Caenorhabditis elegans: one gene and its partner. The protein of the gene in region 1 purifies or fractionates together with the protein of each later gene. This does not show direct contact. Each region holds a gene or a part of one and is shown in the gene's direction. Other genes may lie near its edges.

Region 1 (6,621 bases):
CTTCTGCATATACACATTTGAGGTGTCAGTCAAATGTGTAATAATTTTTTTTGAAACTTCGTTTTCTTTATTCTTTTTCTTTTTCTTTTTTTCAAAATTTATTTCCCAATTGTCGAGCCAACAATCAAATTATGCCACAATCTCTGAGCATCAGCTGACAATTAATCATTTTGTGGTCGCTCTTGACACATCTTCCCCGCCGAAATATGTTTCTTCATTCATTGTATAACTTATAACAGGTGTCTTATTCTATTGCATTCCAACAACATTAGAAATGTAAAACCTAGTTTGATTAATGACTTGATGCTCCCCTCATCAATCAAGAAGAGAGATTACCAATAAGCTGCCACCATGCCATACACCAATTAATTCATTCTGTTCTTTTCCAGGGAGGAGCCATCTTCATGTGTATTCGGTTTTTTCAAAGCCAGCGACAACGTGGAGAATACGAATTGGAACATCGATTCGAAAGGGGTCCGTCTGGTCGCGTGCCGGTCGCTCAGGCAACCCATCAAAAAATCAACAAGAATCCCATCACGTAACGACTATGAGCCGATTGGCGAGTGTGTAGATGTTATTGAGACTGAGAGAACGGGTTTGGATGGATCGGTTCCTTCATTGGTTTCAGGTACTTTTGAAGTGATAGTTTAAATGTGGGAACAGAACAAATAAGCGTATAAACAAACAAATAATCCAAGTCTGAGAGTGAGAAGAAACGCAAAGTAACACTTATGAATAATAAGAAAGTCATTAGGAAACAATTTTCTCAGAACACAACATTCGTGTAATTCTAAAACACTGTGATATACTGTTTAACTAGGTTCGAGCGGGGAAACTGTGACCTACTGAACAAAACTTTCTAACTTCTTCCAACATTCATTTCAGGACCTTCCACATTTTTACATTTTCCTGCATCACCTGCCCCAACATATTCCTTTCGGGAAGATGATTGTCAGACCGATATTGAAATATCTGAAGATGACGATGATCCAACAATAACCCTATCCAATTGGCGTCATTCATCTCCAACTCTTTCAATTTGTACTCCAATTCTTACTACTCGTCGATCGACTTCTTATTCATCAATACCAACCATCGATCGTACGATTAGCGAAGACTCGATGCTGGTGATTAAACGTTTGTAGTTTTATTTCTTTAAGACAATTTATTTATTCAAAAACTCTTCATTCATTACGGGTAGATAAATTTTCTAGTTTTTCCATTCTATCAACATAGACCCAATGCTTCTTTCCTTTTCTTTTTACCGTACGATTTCCAAAACATTCTGCCAATTTGTCATTTGCTATATATTTCCTCCATAAATGTTTCCCTTTTTTCCTTCATCCCAATCCTTTTTTTTCTGGTAATAATAAATTCCTTTTCTGGGCAAAAAGCAACAAAATGTGAGCCAAAAAAGGCGACTGATGATAGATGGTGATGATTTGAATGTGACTGGAAGGAGGAGAAGAAGACGTCGAAAAAAGCGGCAAGCTAAGAAGAGTGATGGTGTACATGGGACGATGTGGAACAACTAATCCAGGAATGAAATGATAGTCAACCACTGACATGTTATTCACTTGAAAAAATAGTCCCTTAAAGGGAAATGATATGGTGAAGTTTAATAAAATTCCCCAGAATACTCCACTTTCAAAAAGTTTCAGGAAGTCTTATTGGATAATTCAAAATTCCTTCATGGCAAAGTTTTTATATATATTTGTAATGGATTGTGCAAACATGAATATTAACAGTTTTATTTATTTTGTTATCATTTTGTCATAGCCTAGGTCAATCTCGGTAGACGATAGGTTTTCAAAATAATCAAACAAATGCATCTGATTGTTTAACTTTTTGTACGTTTTTCATATACTCTGATGATTCAGATCAATTTGATCTTTTTAGAAGAATGTTCAAAATTTCCACACTTCGAAATCCTGTTTTCACAATTCATTTCATCCATTTTTATGAGTTGGAACGATAAGAAAAGAATCTTAACGATGAAAGTGTCAACTGTTGTTACTGACTCATTCACTTGTTGTGACGGAAACTGATCCGAAGGTCGGAAAATTTTCAAGAATAACACAAAGTTTGTAGAGTATAAAAAGAGCTGAAGAATCTGTAAGGCCTCAGCCTTTGAAACGTTATTCATTTAACTCACAGAACGTATATTTTATATCTGATGTTTAAATTTTTTATTATGCGTTGTAATATTCTGATAATAAGACCGTTTTTTTTTCTAGTCCTAAAAATTATTAGTCGCCTTCAAGTTCGCCTTCAAATTGATTGTTTTAAAACCTGTTTCAATCTTGAGCACACAATCTCGTCTTTTGTGAATTAGAAATAATAATTCATCAAAAATATAGAAGGTGTTTTTGATCAGTTAAAAAAATTCAAAAAAGAAAATTTCCGCTCTATTGATTTCTTACTTTCCATCACAACATAATTCAATTAAGATAGGGACTATAAAAGTTTGCTTGGCCACAAAATGGCATAAATCGGTTTCAGATAAGACACATTCGATTCACCTCTTTTCTTATTTACTAAACTCTTATTAGCGGTAAAGCTAACTACACATACACGTAATTTTTTTGAGGCATAATTATGTATTATCAGTAATTTTTGGAACTCTAAAGTACTCTAATTTATCAATTAAATTATCTTTCCAACTAAAAAACGACATATTAAAAATCGACTAAACATCCTGTAAACTTCACATCTATCAGTAAAAAAAGCTACGCGCCTCAAAACACGACCTTCTCAATCCCATCATTGTGAACTTTCATAGTGTTCTCACATTGATCTTAAGAACAAATAAACTTCCTGATTGTTCCATTTTCAATACTTCTCCAAATGACATTCTTTGAACAGTCTAAGGAAACGAATCCTCATTTTCTAGTTCCGTGTTCCAACTCTGTAGGATTTTTTGTATAACTCTGATAACAAGAAGGATATTTTCTCTCACTCTAGCCAACAAACAAATGATAAAAACAAAGTGATTGATTGCAAAGTGGGCTGGGCGTTTAGTTTAACCAGCGGAGGTGCTTACCCTATTTTTTTCATTCGAAGGCAGTATCTTCTGGCTGACGACACTATTTATTGTTGTTCCAAGAGAAAGGTTTCATCACTTTAAGATTTTGTGCTTTTTCTTTCAATTGTTCTTCTGAATTTCGTGTCAATTCACAAAACTTTTTTCATTCTTGAAAATTAAATAAAATTTCAGAAAATGAACCGCTTCATTCTTTCCGCTTTCCTCCTTGTTGCCATCTTTGCCATATCCGATGCTGCCGTTGCTCAACAGCAGGTTAAGGTTTGTTGTAACTCCTATTTGAAAAATAACAAAAAATCATTTTCAGGACGGAGAAAAAGTTGAAATCGATGCTTTCAAGGGAGCCAAGGCAATCAAGAGAACCGTTGCCGGTGGAGATCAAATCTTCCACCTTGACGGAGATAACAAGGGATCATTTGTTGATGCTAAGGGAAAGAAGATTGAGTCAACCAATTATGAAGCTAATAACGGAATCCTTATCATTAAGAAGTTCACCAAGGCCGATGTTGGAACCTACTCCGAGCACCCAGCTGTAAGTTTTCAGTGGGAGAAATAATTAGAAATGTTTTATTTCAGAAAAACACCGAAACCAAGCACGCTGATGGATCCATCTCCGCTGTTCCAGGACTCACTCTTGATATCTCCCTGCAATAAACAAATTTCATTCGGAATGTGTTCTAATAATTTCTCTAAATAAAATTTTTAAAACAATTTCGTGCAAACTTTGCAAAAATAAACAAAAATGTGAGTCAGAACAGAAATAGGCGTGACCTCTATTCAGTCAACAGGTGACCAATAAATCAAGTCTCATTCGTCACTATTTAATGGGTTCTAGAGATGTTTTCTTTCTTCATTCTTTTTTCTCTCAAAATCATCTGAGAAAACTTTGTTTCAGGAGCTTTTTGAATTGTTTTCAATAAAAGCTTTCCTTAAATTTTTTTTATCATTTTCAGAATGAGCCGGTTTTTGATTTCTTCGTTTATACTGATTGCCTTTGTTCTTCAGTTTGGAGAAGGATCAATTGCAGTTCAAGAAGTTAAGGTTTGTAAAGTTTTTTATCTGACAATAGTTTAAAAACTGTTGTTCATGCTTCTACAGGAAATTTTAAATGTATTTCTCAAAACTACTCGAAACTTCAAAAGTTTTCTTATTTTGAAATACCAAGTAGTATTTTACAAATTCCATTTTAGGATGGCGAAAAAGTGCAAATTGAACTTTTCAAAGGAGCCAAGGCAATCCAGAGATCCGTTGACGCTGGCGAACAGATTTTCCATTTCGAAGGAGAAAACAAAGGAGTGTTTGTGGATGCTAATGGAAAAGCTATTGACTCGTCAAATTATGAAGAGAATAACGGACATTTGGTCATCAAAAAGTTCACAAAAGCTGATGTTGGATCATATTCTGAATATCCAACGGTATTGAATTCCTGAAATTCCCGAATTGAAAAAGTATTAATTTCAGAAAATTATCAAAACGAAAACGGATCATGGATTTTCTGGAGTTGCCGCGCCAGTTCTCAAACTTTCTCTTCAATAACTTTTAAAAACTGTTTCAATAAATTCTTTTAAATAACAATAAATTGTTTGCAATATTTCGTAAAAACCTGTTTGAAGGAATTATTTAACCATTATTTGGAAAAGAAATTTGAATGTAGTAACTGTTTCACGCCCACAAAAAGTTCTGTTAAAATATCTCCAGAGCAAATTCCGCACTGATCTGTTAAATATTTTCTGTAACACTATTTCTATTTTTACTATTTTTTTCGGCTATTTAAAATTAAACCGCAAGACAAATAGGGAAATTAGTGTGATTTTTAATTCCAATAAGGCGAATCTTATAGTAAGTTTTTTTCTTATTCGAAAGTACTACTTTACTGATAAGAAAATGAAAAATCATTCAACTTGCATCGATCATTTTCCTCGTTTCACCTGAAAATATGACATGAATATAGAGATAAATATGTCAATTTAGCTACAGTTTTACCAATATTCATTGAACTTCACATCATAATTTCTCAATATAAAACAGGAAATTCAGAAACTCATCAATTTTTTCATTTTCAGAATGGTTGCTGATGGTAAGAGGAAACGGCAGTTTCATTCAAGAACAAATGCACTAGAAGTAAGCGTTCTTTTAGTATTAAATGTTTCATCAATTTCCTAAATTTAAGTTTTAAAAATTCGATGATGTCCTACTCCCTAGTGTTTTTAATCTGTTTCAAATTCTTGCTATAATTGAATCCGTTTTCAGGTATTGGATGGTATTGACCTTTCTGGTAAAACATTTGCAATTACTGGAACAACATCTGGGATCGGAGTTGAGACTGCTAAAGCATTGATTTTAAAAGGAGCTCACGTTGTAATGATAAACAGGAATTATACAGCATCTGAAGCATCGAAGAAATCTCTCCTAATTGAAACTCCAAATGCTCAAATTGATATTGTTCAATGTGATTTGAATTCACTATCATCTGTGAAGAAGGCAGCAGATGAATACTTAGAACAGAAATGGTAAGCGATAAAGTTGATACATTTAAAAACTTAAAATGATCTAAAGAGTTCCGAAAAACCGAAGTTAGAAATGGAGAAATATTTTGGTGTCTCTATATTCAAATTTTCTCTGAGACAAGACGGGTTTTAATCAGAGATCTAAAATTTTAGTGAAATTTTGAAAACCCATGTTAAGTTATTTCCGTTTTAAACTAATATCCTCCAAACTCATCACTTAAATATTGTATTTTATTAATCCTGCCTCCCTTATCTTTGATCTATTCTTAGGCCACTCCATGGATTAATTTTGAATGCTGGAGTTTTTGGTCCAAGTGAAAAAACAACATCCGATGGATTTGAAGCTCATTTTGGAATCAATCATCTTGCTCATTTTATTGTATGATTTTTTACAAAAAAAACCCGATCTTAACTGAATTATTCTTGCAGTTAATTAAGGAGCTTCTGCCAGTTCTTCGAGAATCAGCACCATCAAGAATTGTAATAGTTACATCAATGCTCAGCAAGCATACATGCGTCAAACCTGATTCCAGAATTGTGGAAAAGCTTGACACACTTTGTCCAAAAGAAGCAACTCAATGGTATTTCCGCCTGTATGCAAAATCAAAAATGTGTAACATTCTAACCGCATTCAAATTGCATCGAGATGAATTTAAAAATAGAATAAGTGTTTATGCAGTTCATCCAGGATCTGGAGTTCGCACAGATCTTCATAGAGATTTTGGTTTATGGAGCATTGCTGACTTTCTATCAATCCCATTTACAAAGAATGCAAGCCAGGGAGCAGCAACAAGTCTTTATTGTGCAGTACATCCTGAAGTGAAAGAACTGTCCGGAAAGTATTGGGAATCGTGTTGGGATGATGAAAAGAATTTGGACAAAAAAGTTTCAAGAGACGAAGAACTTCAAGAAGCTTTATGGGAACATTCAGAAAAACTTATCATGAAGTATTTGGACTCATAAAGTTAGATTTTAATTATCGATAACTTTTCTTGAAACATTGCTCAAAATAAAATTTTATTTATTTTTTCGCCTTTTAGAGAAAAAGAGGAGATATTTACAACTTTAAAC
Region 2 (6,331 bases), on another chromosome or scaffold:
GTCGACGAGGTCGTGATGTCAACTGGATTCTCATTTGAATTTAATTTAATTGAACACGGAAAGTTGGTTCCAGTTAGTGAGAATGAGGTGGACCTTTTCAAATACATGTTCCCAGTGGCTACTTCCGATCATAATTCCTTGTGCATCATTGGTCTCATTCAACCATTTGGATCAATTATGCCAGTTTCCGAACAACAAGCTCGTGTATTCTTTGCCAACATGGTTTCTGGAAACAATTTAATTCCTAAAAAGTCACAGATGTCTGAGGATGTTTTGAATAAAAAAGAAGCAATGGCTCAGCAGTTCGTAAAATCCAGACGTCACACTATTCAAGTCGATTATATTCCATATATGGATGAACTCGCAGAGCTTATTGGATGTCAAGTCCCACTTCTTCGAACACTATTTACTGATCCAGTTCTTGGTCTTCGCCTCTTCTTTGGTCCAAACGCAGGGTATTGCTACAGATTGGCTGGGCCACACACTTGGAACGGTGCCAGAAATGCGATTTTGACTATTGATCAACGTGTCCGAATGGCAACTACAACCAAACCGGAGCCTACCAATTACACTGTTCCACTAGTGATCTCTTCTATTATACTTTTGCTTGTTATCTATTTTGTCATGTAAATATTCCATTTCAGTGTGTAAATAAAGTTAGATTCAGGAAATCGATATATGTAATACTTGTGATCCATAGTAAAATGTCATGCTTCTATTCTTTGCACTTTCACTCATTAACTTTCATTTATTCCGAAATTAAATTTATATCACAGAGAAGTAAACGTATAAATGAGACCTTCCGGCGTCTTATAAGTTGATGCGGTAAAACGACCATTCTCAATAGTAAGTTGAAGAGTTGTTCCATTTTTCTCGAAGTAAAGATTCTCTGATTGTTTTTCGTCGTAAAGATGGATTTCCCAATTTCGAACAATACGATCTCCCTCGAGCCACTCCTGGAACATAAAAAATGTTACTTTTATTTTATTTGCAAACAGGTGTAAAACAAAGAAAAAACTAACCTTTCCGAATTCTTTCAAACTATCCGAATCTATCTCATTTGTCCCCTCCATGTAAAGTTCTGGAGCAAAAAACTTCAAAAGTCGTTTCCCGTTTACTCCATTTTTGAACTCCGTTGGCTGTTTGATAATCAACTTTTGTGTCTGAAAAATTACTAAAAAATGCCTAGAAACAGATTTAAATAACCCACATTTTGCAATGCTTCGAAATCAAAGTTATCGTCATCCAATTTAGCTTTTCCACCAATTTCAATCTGATACTCATCTCTCCCCATATTCTTTGTGAATCCAGTTGGAATTGTGAATGGAGCACTCGGATGCTCAACGACCCACTTAATCTTTTTAGGTGTTTGAGTTGTAGATAAAATAATTGAAGAAAACTTGGGCTTCATCTGGCTGCATAAGTTTTCCTAGAAATCTCTTAATATTATAATAATAGGTTTAAAACGTTTTTAGCGCTTACAAAGGCAATTTCATCAATTGTATATCTGTTCAGAATATACTCAAACTGTTTTCCAAGATGCCTCGTGATTGAAGAAGATTCATACCGTCTTGTTGATGGATCTTCTGGAAAATATTGAAACTCACTAAAAATGTGTTGCGATACAAGATTTAGTTTAAAGCCACCAGGTCTGTTTTTTTTTAATTTTTAGAATAAAATCGACTTAAAACGGAAAGGATAAATCTTAATTAAAGCGATGAGTCTTGTCGCATAAAATACTTTTTTGAGTGTGCTCTTTCAATTCAAAATTTGAGTTACTTTCTAAGTTTTCTGATTTTGTTCTCAGTTGTTTTTTTTAAGTTTCCAACTTTTTGGTATAATGTTTGGAAAGCTTAATAAATACACAGACAAATGTGAAATACTCACGCTCAAAAAACGGCTTCACCAACTTATAAATCTCTTCTTCTCTTAAATTTGCAGATCTATTCATATAAATATAACTTTCCCATTGCCTAGATCCATCGATAATCACTTTGAAGATTCCATACTCTTCAGGCCTCTGAAAAAATGTAATTGTAGTTTATTGAAAACTTTATGTTAATATGTATTACCCTAAAATACTGAATATGGATCGAATTTTCTGCAACAACTGTTGCACAAAACAAAAGGAATGTTAGGATAATCATATCAATCGAATCCGGAAAAATGAAATAATTCAGATCATCAAATAGATATCCGGCATGATGGCCACAACATGAAGAAAATCTCGATATCTCGGCGTCTCTGCAACTTCTGTGATGTATCCGTCAGTTCATTTTCTGCATCGAGAACAATTGTCGAATTGGAAAAGAGTGTGCATCTCGGGCAAGCACATGTTCCAGCTATACACATGCGATTGATCGATGCCCGAAAAATTGGAAAATTATTAAGAAAAAACGGCATGGCTAAAATATGCTTGAATATGCATAATTAACGTCACATTCATATATTCTTCGATTCATGTTTTTTCTTAATTAAATTTTAGAGTAACACCTGGTTTTCACGCTTTTGGGATTCCGGTATTCTTTTGATCTTTGGATTAATCTTTTAGATTCACAAGTTTGATCTATCGAAAAATGTAATGAATTTCCGGGAACTCCAAAAAGCACAAAAGTGTGTCCTTTTTCCGATTCAGAACCCCAATATTATAATTTTACATTACGAAAATCACATATTTTGTGACTAAGAGTCCATTCTATATTCCTTATATTCTCGAGATCACGCTTTTATGAAACATGATCGTCTGGTTTCCCATCTGTGGTTTGTGCCACGTTGCTTAGAACCAATTGTGCCATGACAACTGGAGCAGTATAAAAGAATAATGGCAAAAGTGGAAAATTCAGAAGCTCCATATTTTGACAAACGTCTTTATCTTCTACATCCAAACCAACAATGAGTAAGTTTTTCTTTGTTTTTTTCTGAATTTCCTTAGAATGTTTCCGTGCTTATGTACATTGAAAATTTTGACATTTCAGCCAAAGCTGAGTTCCAAAAAATCCACGATGAGATGAAGGCATTGAAAGCCGCCGGAAAGCAAGACGAGTTTGCTAAGAAGTTTGTTACCAAAGATGCCATCTTCATGGGTCCACTCCACGAGCCAGCCAATGTGAATGAAGCTGCCAAGTTTGCAAAAAGCGAGATGATGGCTGCCGTCTCAAAGGGAGAGTTCAATATCACTATTGACGAGATCACTCCAATCGGGGACGTCGTCATCGAGCGTTGCACCATCCACGCCAAGGTTGCAAGCGGGGACAAGACTGGATGGTCCCTCTGTGTCTGGGTCAAGGATGGAGGAGCATGGAAGATCCGTAACTCGTGCACCACGTTCAAGGTTGTCCCATCGGCATAAATTATCAAATTTTATTTGATTTGCTTTATTTCAACAGTTGTGAAATAAACCCATGTTAATTCAAAAGTCCACTTGATTTTTTTATTATTTTGTTTTGAAAATTCAGGAGATTTTGCACCGATTTTAAAAATTTAGCTATAAAAATTTTGATAAGTTATTAGTTCAGTATCAAGCATATATTATCCTCTTTGAACAAGTTTACTGGGAGTTTCGCGAGGATCTTCCTAGAGTCTAGAAATAATTTTTGTAAAGTTGAAAGTTCAAAAACCACTATATATAATGTTTTCAAGAGCCTAGTTTTTCATGGCACTTCCTTTGGGAAACTTCTTCTTCTGGTTCAGAAGCTCAAGTCACATAAACTACAAATGATACACTCTCCCTTGTGTGCTCAAAAGTTCAACTTCAAGCCCTATATTCTCATGGTCACATTTTTCGAAAACTTGATCAGTCGGCTTCTTCACTATGGTTTCTGCTCGTTGCTAAGCTTCAATTAAAACCATGGCAACGAGAGGAGTATAAAAGAACGGCTGAATGTATTGAAAACTTCAGTAGCTGCAAACAGGAGACCTTTGTCTTCACATCTACTGCTCTCCCAACTAGCCATGTGTAAGTTAAAGAATTAGTTTTGAAACTTTATCAAATGTTTCTCTTTCAGCAAAGGCCGAGTTCCAAAAGTTCCACGATGAGATGAAGGCATTGAAGAACGCCGGAAAGCACGATGAGTTCGCCAAGAAGTTCGCTGCCAAGGATGCCGTCTTCATCGGACCACTCCACGATCCATGCACCGCTGATGAGGCCGCCAAGTTGGCTCAAAGTGACAAGATGGCTGCTCTCGTCAAGGCCGATTTTGACGTCAAGATTGACGAAGTCACTCAAATCGGAGATGTCGTCGTCGAGCGCTGCTCCATCAGCGCCAAGTTGCCAACTGGCGACAAGAACGGATGGTCACTCACCGTCTGGGTCAAGGAAGGAGGAGCATGGAAGATCCGTAACTCGTGCATCACCTTCAAGGCTCCAATCCCACAATAAATCATGTATTCATTGATTTTATTTATTTCTACAGTTGTGAAATAAAAACCGTGTTAATCTGAAATTTGTTGTGTTAATTGTAGTGGCTTCAGAATGATAACCAGTTTTCAGAAAAAAGAACAAAAGTTGGATATAATTTAGGCTGCTTTAACTCAATGTTCTTTCAGGCCTTAACGTCTACTAGAAATCATAGTTGAAAAGTTCTAGAAACCAACAAATTTGCTCCAAAATATGGGAAAAAAATCTAACACGCTAATTTCTGTTTACGGTCTCAAAATAAATGTCGTTTTCCTTTTCTACAAGTTGGACTAAAAATATATAATTGTGGCTTTCAGAAAAAAATTAATTTATGTTTTCAACAATTTCAGTAATAAACACCTGGAAGTAGCTCAACAACATTTTCAGCTGGCTTTTCAAATATAATTCCCAGGCTTCCAGATGAAATAGATTCTAAATTTCAGAGCACAATTATGTATCCAATTAACAGCGGAAAATTGAATTTGAACCGGCTTTTGATAAGTCAGGCACTACTTTCGCGATAGGATGAATCAAGCAACTTCAACATGACCGCACTTCTACAACAAGAAAGGAAACTCTATAACGTAAGAGTTCTATGATCAAAGGTTACAATGAACTTCCAATAAACCCGTGGAATAACCTTTGCGACCATTGCGTGGAAGGTCATATCAGATGTCTATATAAGGAGGAGATTGTGGAAGAAACACCAGTTCAGATTTAACTCAAATGAACTCTCTTTGCTTTGGAGATCGTCTGATGTTGTGTCAATAAAGTTTTTTATTAATAATGATGTGTAAGAGCGATGCCACTGAACCGCATTCGCGACAACTACATATGCTATATATCAGATTTTGGAGCCACTCGAGAAAAGTAATCAAGCTGCATTGCGCTCTTTGTCAAAATTTCAGAAATATTTCTTACTGCTGAAATGTGCATTTAATGTTACACTTTTTCGTAAAATTCGTTTAAAAAGTCTATAACCTAGGGATTGAAGTACAAGTTTTATGTAGTTGTACTTTGCCCGTGTTGATGTTGATCACAAATATCTTACTCACGCGATATGCTTCCAAGAAATATGTGATTTCTGAAAAAAAGAAGCATGAAACCATGGTTTCATGCTTCTTTTTTAGTGGTTAACCACTATAAACACATTCATTCGCACGAAGAAACAAAAATATGTTTTGCAAGTTTTGTTCGAAGAGGCAGAAACCACATGAATATTGGGTTTGCAACTTTCGGTTAGAACAAGGCAGATACATCTTCCAACGTAGATACCTCCCTCGTGCTTGCTTGCTTACATGCCTACCGAATAAACTTTAGTTCTCGGTGGGCGGAACAAGCTGGCATTTGTATGCTTACGTGAACATGAAAACAGATAGAGGGGAAACCGGAAAAATTGGAGAACCATGCAGTCACAGTGTCTTTCACAATTAGCACTTGCTAGTATTTTTCACCGTATACTTTGAAAGATTTTCCAAAAATTTTACTTCAGGTTTATATTAAAATTAACCACAGAAAGTTTATTACATGAGAGAAAAATCTGGGAACGAAGTGAAGTTTCCTCCAACAACCAATGCATCGGCTTGAATATTTTTCTCTCCTTGAGCTCCGGAAATGTCTTGAATAATACGATAATGGCAAGAACTGAAAGAATTAATTTTAATTATTACCTCAACATCGGGAACTTACTTCTCAGTCTTACATAACGTATTAACAGTTAAGACGAGTTCAACTTGTTGCGCCTTTTTGTGACAATCATGAGTTATATATGCAACTGGTTTATGTCCATCAGAAAAGGATTCGTCACCATCCATGGCTCCTTCCATTCTAAAGCTGAAGTTTCCCGGTTTTGGGTGGTAAAATTGTGGACGAGTGATCTGTTCCATTCCGGGCCTGAAACACCATGGTTTTCTAAGAAAGGTATGTTGAAACTTA

What was found. The genes of interacting proteins can lie anywhere in the genome.
Region 2: the proteins of E04F6.9 (region 1) and R102.2 fractionate together in Caenorhabditis elegans (co-fractionation; one large-scale study listed by BioGRID). This does not show direct contact.

Annotation. Positions count from the first base shown.
Region 1 is NC_003280.10:7,208,756-7,215,376, reverse strand, and holds E04F6.9 (Periplasmic protein), read left to right. Parts: upstream 1-3,217; 5' UTR 3,218-3,220; coding exon 3,221-3,304; intron 3,305-3,350; coding exon 3,351-3,575; intron 3,576-3,619; coding exon 3,620-3,697; 3' UTR 3,698-3,752; downstream 3,753-6,621. Other genes in the region: E04F6.10 (uncharacterized protein), read left to right, coding at 390-542; E04F6.8 (Cuticle protein), read left to right, coding at 3,998-4,084, 4,234-4,458, 4,505-4,579; E04F6.15 (DeHydrogenases, Short chain), read left to right, coding at 5,108-5,164, 5,294-5,553, 5,821-5,929, 5,980-6,513.
Region 2 is NC_003282.8:10,683,697-10,690,027, forward strand, and holds R102.2 (DUF4440 domain-containing protein), read left to right. Parts: upstream 1-3,910; 5' UTR 3,911-3,951; coding exon 3,952-3,955; intron 3,956-4,004; coding exon 4,005-4,378; 3' UTR 4,379-4,439; downstream 4,440-6,331. Other genes in the region: fmo-2 (Flavin-containing monooxygenase), read left to right, coding at 1-630; K08C7.6 (GLPGLI family protein), read right to left, coding at 771-956, 1,023-1,163, 1,211-1,429, 1,483-1,586, 1,888-2,020, 2,073-2,147; R102.1 (DUF4440 domain-containing protein), read left to right, coding at 2,893-2,896, 2,976-3,349; R102.8 (TransThyretin-Related family domain), read right to left, coding at 5,920-6,040, 6,086-6,289.